Linked DNA regions of Tribolium castaneum. The protein of the gene in region 3 interacts with the protein of the main gene of each other region in a biochemical or structural test. Links are inferred from orthologs where the notes say so. Each region holds a gene or a part of one and is shown on either strand. Other genes may lie near its edges. The genes, in order: Ref1, Ran and nuclear RNA export factor 1.

Region 1 (2,862 bases), on a different chromosome or scaffold from region 3:
CTAGATTAAATTCGGTAACTATGCGGAACAAGGATATTCACACAAAATACTAGGCGAATTTAAAAAAGTTGAATTATAGGAACTAAGAAAACTTAATGTAATTTAATTTTGATACAAAATTGTGAACATTACAAGCAGCCACAAGACAGCTCAGTTACTATAATTATTAATCTTACACTGTTGCTTAATAAATTATTATTTTCTTTTAGTATTCTTTATTGATGAAAATTACGTTGAGTGCACTCGCTTCGATTGGATGTACTTTTTGTAATTTGTTTTGTCGTATATTTAGTAATATAAACCCTAAACGCAAGTTCTCACGGACCCACTTTAGTTGTTCAATTAAAGATGAAAATTTTTAATGGAAATCATCGTAAAAAACTTGATCCACTTAAGACACAACAAAGATTCTGACGATGATTTTTGTTGAAGTTTTATTGTTCAACTTGAAATAAACGACTAAAATCGATCCGTGTCAACGTGCCTTTAGCGACAACTGTTACAAGATTTATTATGGTTTTAAATCAAGATTGAAGGCGATTAATTTTTTATACAACTCGGTCTTAACGTCATGTGATACATTTGGCTGATGCAGTTTTATGTATAAATAAAAAAAATTTCTAATGAAACGACAAGTCACACTTAATTCTTATTTATTCCTATCAATACAATTTACATTAACAAGAGAAAACAGCCTAACACTAGATTTAGTTGTGGAAAAAACGAACCGCATACGTAATCCTCGTACTTTAGTGGTTATTTTTTATAAAATGTAAGGCTCGATGTTACAATCAAAATACAAAATAAAAATACGAAAGAACTAAACACAAGTCACAAAAAGTGGCGCGTTGAGCGTCTCTGATATTAATAGCACTTATTTTATTTCATCTCCTTGGTGTAGGCGTCTAATTCAGCGTCGAGTTCTTCAGCTGTCGGTTGTTTCTTTTGATTTCTGAAACTTCGTCCTCCTCCACGACCTGGCAAACAAACATTTGTTTAGTTGAAAAATCCGGCTGTTGGAGGCGTCGCCGCCGCTGGTCAAGTAATTGTACCTCTGTTAGGTCGTCCCTTGGCAGGTGCAGCCCCTCTTCTGCTTTGGAACTTCCTCTCTCCCGTGGGCCTCCTGACCGGCGACGGAATCTCCGACGTGATGATTTGAATGTTCATGGCGCGTCCGTCGAGAGGCACTCCGTTGTACTGCTTCATGGCCTTAATAGCGTCGGTGCGCCTTTCGAAAATCACATCAGCGGTGCCGAGCGACCGCCCCGAGCGGTCATAGTGCACCGAGGCGCTCTTTAGCGGCCCAAACTCGGCGAACAATTCCTGAATATCCGAGTCGGAGACCGCAAAGTCTAAATTGCCCACCATGAGCTTAGTGGGGCCCACATTGGACTGCACAACGGCCCGAGCCGCGGCCACTTTACGCGGGCCGTAGCCCTCGAACAGATCGTGCTTCCAAGCACTGTTCACATCTCCCTAAACAAACATGGATGGGGGTAAATTCCGGCTCTCCGGCTGGATGCACGCTAGCCGCTTCCATCGCGGGGCAGCTTAAGTATAAACATAGTTAGAAACAATTACCCGGGTGTACTGGCGCGTTATTCCTCCGCGTCCTCGGCCCCTTTGGACGCCGCCGGCTCTTCGGAACGTGCCGCGTCTTGGCGCGCCACCCCCGCGGGTTCCGCCGCGACCTCCGCGACGGCCGCCGCGCCGGGGCTTGGATTTTATTATCTCATCTAAACTCATTTCAATTGTGTCGACCATTTTTACTGATTTTGTACGCTGATTTGACTGAGAAATTCACTTTTTCTACACCCGGCGGCAACGCACACAACCAACGACAAAATGGCGTACAAAATGAACGACAGACGCTGTGCGCATGCGCCACGTCACTGCGCTGTCGGCAACACAGGAACCTGCCCGGATTTTACCAAAAAAAAATACGACCGCATGTATTAGGCAATTTTTTGCATTTTCAGCATAATACAGAAACAAAGAATAAAAACTTATTTTTATGTTTATGAAATAGGTAACCTATTTACACCAATGTAAAAACACCGCTGTATTATTGGTTCCCTATACATTCAATTTTTTTCAAACTTTGTTCTACCAGTTTATGTAGGTAGGTATTTGTAAATGAAATTTTGTTCTTCTACCTAATGTATGTTAAAATATTGTCAATACAAAACAGATGTTTATTTATATTGACTCATTAACACATTTTAGTGTTTGAAGAATCTTTGGCAGAATTGAAATATTGTGTAATGTTAGACTTTCTTTATTTGATCCATTAAAAGTAAAAAAAATCAAATGTGAACACGTTTAAATTTAAAAGAAATTTAAAAAATGTAATAAAAAAATATTAATTTAATTTAAAAATTCCAACAAAACAAACACTCACGCGAAAACGTTTAAAGTTCTCGGGTGTATATTATGTAACTCGCATACGCTCGTTTGCTCAAATCACCGTCTGTTAGTCATATAAACTTTGGGAAAAGTACTCAAAAGACGCAATCCCAATTTCCTAGTTGATATTGCGTTTCTGATTAATTTTTAGACGCTGAAGTGAAAGTTTCAACCTCTAATATCCCAAAAAATAATAAAAGTTTGGATTAAGTAGTTAATTACACAGTAATTAGATGTCAAAACACAAAAAATATTTATTTTTAGTTAGTTAATAATTTGTTCATCAGTTAACACTTCTCTATTATATTAAATACTTACTATCAACCCCGACATATTTCTCAAAATTCTGTGAAAAGTTCGTTATGAACGGAAAACTAGTTCGTTTTATCCGTAAGTTCTCCACCACTGAAGTTTAATCCTGAATTAAATTTTATTTGGCTTTGTACAGTAACTAGT
Region 2 (3,764 bases), on a different chromosome or scaffold from region 3:
TTGTACCTTTTTAGGTGGCATGATCTGCAACACGAGCAACAAGACCGAATTAAACCACCTTTTAGATAAGGTCACGAGTTGGCATTCTGCGCCTTTTTCGTCCATTTTCCGATATGCAAATCGTCGGTTATGCGTTCAAATAATAACACACATCACCGACTGCAACTTAATTTGCACAAAATAGCAATTTTCAATCTGATACCGAAATTGTAACTTAGGGACTTTGCAGAGCGTTCAGCATTTTTAAAAAAGCACTACATAATAATAAGCTCACCGTTCCATAGGCTACAATTTCGAATTTACCATCAATTCCTACTTTCATATTAATGTAATTTGCCACACAGCGCCCCAGGCCCTTAAATCCGCCGTTATAATTTCGAAATTTCGCTGATTTAATCAATTTTTTACTAAAACAAGAACCGTCTCAAATTTCAACCAAATTCGAAAACGCCGCGACCCGTCATCACGCAAACCACCGCCAGGTGGCGACAAGGACCCACACACGATTTAACCCACAAAAACATAATTCCCGCAAAAACGCGACTAAACATTACGCAAAACAAACTTTTTTGTCATCTAATCCCCAAATAAGCAAAACAACAGCGAGACATGAACCCGATCGGCCCAAAAAACACGTGAAAGTTGCATAACCTCAAAGCCATTCTGTCGTTTTTTACCGCAAGACAAAGCCATTAATCGGAATTTTTTTTACACCGATCCATTCATACACTCGCACTACTCACCTCGATAAGGTCTAAAAGTGTTTTTGTTAAAGAATCAGAAAAACTCACAACACTACACAATCACCGGTAACCTATATTTTGACAGATAAGCGATCTTTTTTTAGGTTCGACGCCCGGCTAAAAGGTGGGCAAAAAAATAAAATTTTGATTTGTTAGCACATTTTCCCAAACGAATCATTCACTAATTATTGATTACTAATTAAAAAAAAACCTGATTATAAAATATCTGTAGCTCCCCCCCAAGCAGGTGTTACTCAATTGTTTAAATGCAAAATTCCCAAGGACACTTTCAACCCCTCAACTAATTAATTATTTTCTCATTAAATCTCTACGGAATTGTAAAAAAAAATATTTGGACAAAGTTGGGTAAGACCTACGAAGAACTCTTAAGACAAAATATATTTTTTATTAATGAATTAATTAAATTTGTTCCTGATCGACGTTCGATCGTTTTTTGTTTTAAATAAAAAATCCCCAAATGCAAATTTGACAACTTGACATTTGCAATTATTTGTTTGTGTGAAAAGTGGGACAAAAATGCAAATTTGAGGTGAAAAAGTGTGTTTTGTGCCAAAATTTCGTGTTTACTGAGTCTCTGGTCCTTCGCTGTGTGTGCTTTGGTGAGTGAAACTCAAAAAAAATTAGTTATAATGAACCCGGCTTTTAACAGACGCTCGGATATAACAAACAAAATTATAAGTCCCGTTTTAAAGTCCTATACCTATTGTAGTAACAAACTGGTTCGGTTTTAACGAACAAACAAACATCACTTTTAACGTCCAATATTTAGGCAAAAATACAGTGGCGTCCGTTTATAACGAACCCATTCATAACACACTTGATTGAGTTGTTGCTGAATTAACGCATAGGAAAGGTAAAATCTTGGCCATTTTCGACCAAATCTGGTGATTTTTTCGTTCCACTTTAATAAAAACAGGAAGAAAACCTTGATTTTTGGTCTAAAAACATGTTAAAATTCTCAGAACTTGCAAAAATAATGTCATTTTTGACATAAGTCTTTGATTTATTGAGAAATTTTGCACAATAATGAAGTTTTTGCTGAATAAACGCTTAGGAAAGATAAAATCTTGGTCATTTTCGACCAAATCTGGTGATTTTTTCGTTCCACTTTGATAAAAAACGAAAGGAAATTTTGATTTTTGGTCTAAAAATGTGTTTAAATTTTCAGAACTTGTAAAAATAATGTCATTTTTTACATAATTCTGTGATTTATTGGTTTACTTTTTAAGAAATTTTGCGCAATTATTGAGTTTTTGCTGAATAAACGCTTAGAAAAGGTAAAATTTTGCTGATTTCCGACCAAATTTGGTGATTTTTTCACTTTAGTTTAAGAAAAACATGAAGAAAACCTTGATTTTTGCTCTAAAAACGTGCTTAAACTTTCAGAACTCGTCATTTTTGACATAATTCTGTTATTTATAATTGAGTTATTGCTGAATAAACGCCTAGGAAAGGTAAATTTCTGGTCATTTTCGACCAAACTCTAAACTCGGACTTATCGGACTTATTTGCCTTATTATCATAATATGTAATATTTTTTAATAAGTCTATTTATACTTTATTTCCTGTATCTATTCCAAACTTTGGAACTCCTTTAACTTGAAAATTGTTCTTTGGGTGTTCGTTATGACCGCGTTCCACTGAATTGTTGATTTTGCTATTGCCCACCTTGTGTGTTTGCGCCAAGTAGAAAATTGCGAAAATTTGTTTGTTTGCGAGTAAATGCGTCTTAGAAATAGTATAGAATTACGTATTCCGGAGCAGTTGATTTCCATTTGGGTCCCGGAGCATAGAATGAGCATCGAATCGCACAATTACCGTATGAAGACATCAAAGCGATCGGAAAGCTCACAGGTTATTCAGGAAACCGCAATTGTTGCAAGTGAAGTGCACAAAAGCTTCACCTACAATAGCATTCGCCACATCCGGAATGTCGTAGCTTTTGGTCCTCTGTGTCGTCGTCGATATAATAAAGTATTGCGTTACTCTTAGCCTCGCCGACAGGAAACTGCAAACGTTATTCTGTCATTTTACGAGCCAGCATTTCAAAAAAGCCCATTCTTTGCAAAACATGTTCATTGGACGGGGGCCCTTGGGCCGCTGCCAAGCCTAATTCGCCATAAAAGTAATGAGTCGCTGCCTCATGATATACATTGTCAAAGAAATAAAAGTTTCTGCCTTTGGGGGCCAAATCAAGACCCGGCTCGCTCTTTTATCACTATAATCAGGCCGCCAGCGCCAAGATGGCCAACATCTCGACCACCACGTGAACAATAAGACGGCTCTGATTTTATAAAACTTTTCGGAAAAATTGCGATTTTTTTTTGTTTGAACGAAGCAACTTCCGAGGGTGCTTCCGGTGCACTGTGTGGCACGGGGCGCGATGCAGCTGTGGGGGGCGGAACGAGACCCGCCGCCGGAGAGGACGTCACCTCCTCTAACACATGGTCGCGTCACAATGTGACGGCTTCTTGTTATTTTATATCGGTAAATGTATTAGCGGAGATGGACGGCCTACTCGTTTCATTGCGACAGGGGTGGACACGCGCCCTTGTTTGCCCCAAACAGACCCCCACGAGAGCGACAACAGTATGGAAAAAAATCTTATTCAATTGTACGAAAATGTGTGCTCACAAAGATGGGACTAAATACTTTCGAGAGATCTTTTTTGAAAACATATTAATCTTCAAATCTCGCTTTAAACCGATTTTTTTTTTGTAATCACAATTTGAGAAACGAAAGGACTCGAAGCAGAAGAGGCTTGTTGATTGGTAAAGTCATAAAACAACAGAAGGTACTAAAATTTTATGAACTGTTGCTCTTTTCGAGCCCTGAAGCCCTTTTTCCACAAGGTTTTGCTAAACCGAACCGAAAAATTAGAAAATTAGATGGAAAACGATTACTTTTTGCTTTTTATGAACTAAAAACTCAGTTTTTTTAATTTTGCTAATGTAAAAATAATAAAATTTTTATTGCAATTTTGACTTTAATTTAATTAAA
Region 3 (2,494 bases):
GTATTTTTCAAAATTTATTTCTTAGATAAAGTAATCCTACGATTGTAAAATCCGCCCTAAATGAAAGATAAAAAACGAAAAAGGGATGTCCCTAAGGGTGCTTCATCCAAATTGGAGCAGGTGTATAGTACAATAGTATCCTGTGGCACCATTAGGGGATTAGATAGACTGGCTTTTTTGCAGAACTTTGTGCTTCAAGACTAGAATAAAATCCTAAACGATTATAAAAGAAACAAAGCATGTTCCATTGTCCGAAATCTAATCGGATTGATTCCGAATTCTTGAAACGTAGCGAATAGTTCTCGTGAGATTTTCAAGTATTAACGTGTTGAGATCTTTGTCAATTCAAGTTAAATGTACTCGAAGGAGAACGTCTTCGATTTCCTGATCGTCACAAATTTCTTATTAGATTCTAGACATCTTCATTAAATTTTCTTGTTTTGTTCGTTACGAAAATAGTCACACGTTCTGAGTTTACGCTTCTCTTTTCTGTCACATTGACTCGCTTAAATTTCGATCAATTTGTCAGTCTGATTCCATTTTGACTAAAACCTCTTGTTTTTCATCTAAACATAAATGCTGAGCAAATCTGCCACCTCCATTGTTAACACCTTCGGGTGACTTCTTCTCTTTCCGCAGTGAAGTCCGCAAACGCTTCCCCAAAGTAATGAAACTGGTAAGTTTATTTAATTTGCTTGTTCGCCTCTTCATAAAACCATTCAAAGGACGGAATCGATCTACCCCCACCCATAAGTTTCGACATTCAGGAAGAAACCCACTTACCACCAATCCAACAAACATTTTTATGTAACCAAGAGGGCGAATCAATAGTTCGACAATTCCTCGAACAGTATTTTCTAATTTTCGATTCGGAAAATCGCCAACCCTTGTTACAAGCATATCACGAAAGCGCCCTATTTTCAATGACCATGTCGTACCCGTACGGACACAGAGACAAGAATGCCAGTTGGCTAAACTGGTACACCACTGATAGCAGGAATCTGCAAAAGGTCCAAGACCCGGATCGGAGAAACAAACTACTGAAACAGGGCCAAGTGGCTGTTGTTTCATTTCTGCAAGAAATGCCTCGGAGTAAACACGATATTCACAGTTTCACGGTTGATCTTGTTGTTTTTACGGTAAGTCGAATTTTGGTTTCGTCAAGTTGGTGATAACGTTGCTTCAGCCATTAATGATCGTTTTAACGGTCACTGGGATGTTCAAAGAACTGAAAAGCGGACACAAAGTGCCTCCGACGCGAGCCTTTTTCAGAACACTCGTTATAGTACCTGCAGGCTCAGGTTTCTGTATCTCGAATGAAACACTGCATATTACAAACGCCACCGACGAGCAAGCCAAGGTTTGTCGATTAATAACTTGAAGAAAAAATGTTGTATTGTACTCGTGATTTTTTTAGCATATTTTCAAGACTGTGGTTTCGGCGCCGCCCCCGACTCCGGTGGCGTCGCCTGTGGCAACCCCTGCGCCCATTGACGACTCCACGAGGCAACAGATGGTCACCGCAATGGCCGAACAATCCACCATGAATTTGGAGTGGTCAAGGAGGTAAAATATAGATGTGGATTTACGTTTGGCTAATTTGATTACTGCCAGGTGTTTGGAAGAAACCCAGTGGGATTTTACCCGAGCGTTGAGTGCGTTCGCAGATGCGCAAAAACAAGGACTAATCCCGCCTGAAGCGTTCGTGAAATAGTGAAATAAATCGAATTAAGTCATCATGTTGTTCTTTTTATAAAATTTGTATTTGATAATGTTTATCATTAGTTTTATTACAACTGTAAATAAAAACACTCGATTATGTTTGTGAATGAAGCTTAATTTCAATGAGACTGTGTCAGTTATTTTTATAATAAATAGTGAATAACAGGAGTGTTGTTTTATTTGGGGTGATTTATGCCAGAAAAGTGTGTTATTTAACACACTTGTGCGAAGGGAATACGAAAGCTCTGCCTCATTTAATATCAGAAACATAAAAGAGTAATAAGTGTCAAGCGGAGTTATTTATTGGATAAGGGGTTTGGAGTTAATGAAGCTATTACGTTTATATTTCGATAATTTTGGGCTTGGAGTTATCTGATTCAGGCCATATTTCGAATTACTGGGTGATTTAGGACTGTCTGCTGCGTGAAAATTAGACCAATATTTTTGAACTTGAGGAAATGCTTAATTTAATTTATGATTGCTAATTTTTTATTATTACATAATTACTAACTCAAGGTAAGTTTGGGAAAAAATACACAATTGTTTATCTCAGGAAAAAATCTTCAATAAAATATTAATCATAACATTTAATCATAATTCCCAAAATGACTGGGAGATAAAGACAATATTCAGAAATACGAACTGAACAAGACTTTAGATTATTTGCCATTAAAAAATAAGACAGAAGCCTGAAAATATGGCTGTTCTCCCAAAAGAAAACAACTGAAAAAGGCCTCAAACCCTTCAAAAATCATTAATTTTTATTCACTCT

What was found.
Region 1: the proteins of nuclear RNA export factor 1 (region 3) and Ref1 form a complex in vitro, tested with the Homo sapiens proteins (2 studies listed by BioGRID and IntAct). The link is inferred for Tribolium castaneum from reciprocal best matches to the Homo sapiens genes NXF1 and ALYREF.
Region 2: the proteins of nuclear RNA export factor 1 (region 3) and Ran form a complex in vitro, tested with the Homo sapiens proteins (2 studies listed by BioGRID). The link is inferred for Tribolium castaneum from reciprocal best matches to the Homo sapiens genes NXF1 and RAN.

The regions. Positions count from the first base shown.
Region 1 is NC_087395.1:19,979,704-19,982,565, forward strand, and holds Ref1 (THO complex subunit 4), read right to left. Parts: upstream 1,877-2,862; 5' UTR 1,765-1,876; coding exon 1,582-1,764; intron 1,477-1,581; coding exon 1,053-1,476; intron 978-1,052; coding exon 880-977; 3' UTR 637-879; downstream 1-636. UniProt on the Homo sapiens protein: Functions as an mRNA export adapter; component of the transcription/export (TREX) complex which is thought to couple mRNA transcription, processing and nuclear export, and specifically associates with spliced mRNA and not with unspliced pre-mRNA.
Region 2 is NC_087395.1:25,444,982-25,448,745, forward strand, and holds the start of Ran (GTP-binding nuclear protein Ran), read left to right. Parts: upstream 1-1,231; 5' UTR 1,232-1,363; intron 1,364-3,764. UniProt on the Homo sapiens protein: GTPase involved in nucleocytoplasmic transport, participating both to the import and the export from the nucleus of proteins and RNAs. Switches between a cytoplasmic GDP- and a nuclear GTP-bound state by nucleotide exchange and GTP hydrolysis.
Region 3 is NC_087399.1:3,674,936-3,677,429, forward strand, and holds the end of nuclear RNA export factor 1, read left to right. Parts: intron 1-639; coding exon 640-676; intron 677-725; coding exon 726-1,139; intron 1,140-1,186; coding exon 1,187-1,360; intron 1,361-1,417; coding exon 1,418-1,566; intron 1,567-1,614; coding exon 1,615-1,714; 3' UTR 1,715-1,887; downstream 1,888-2,494.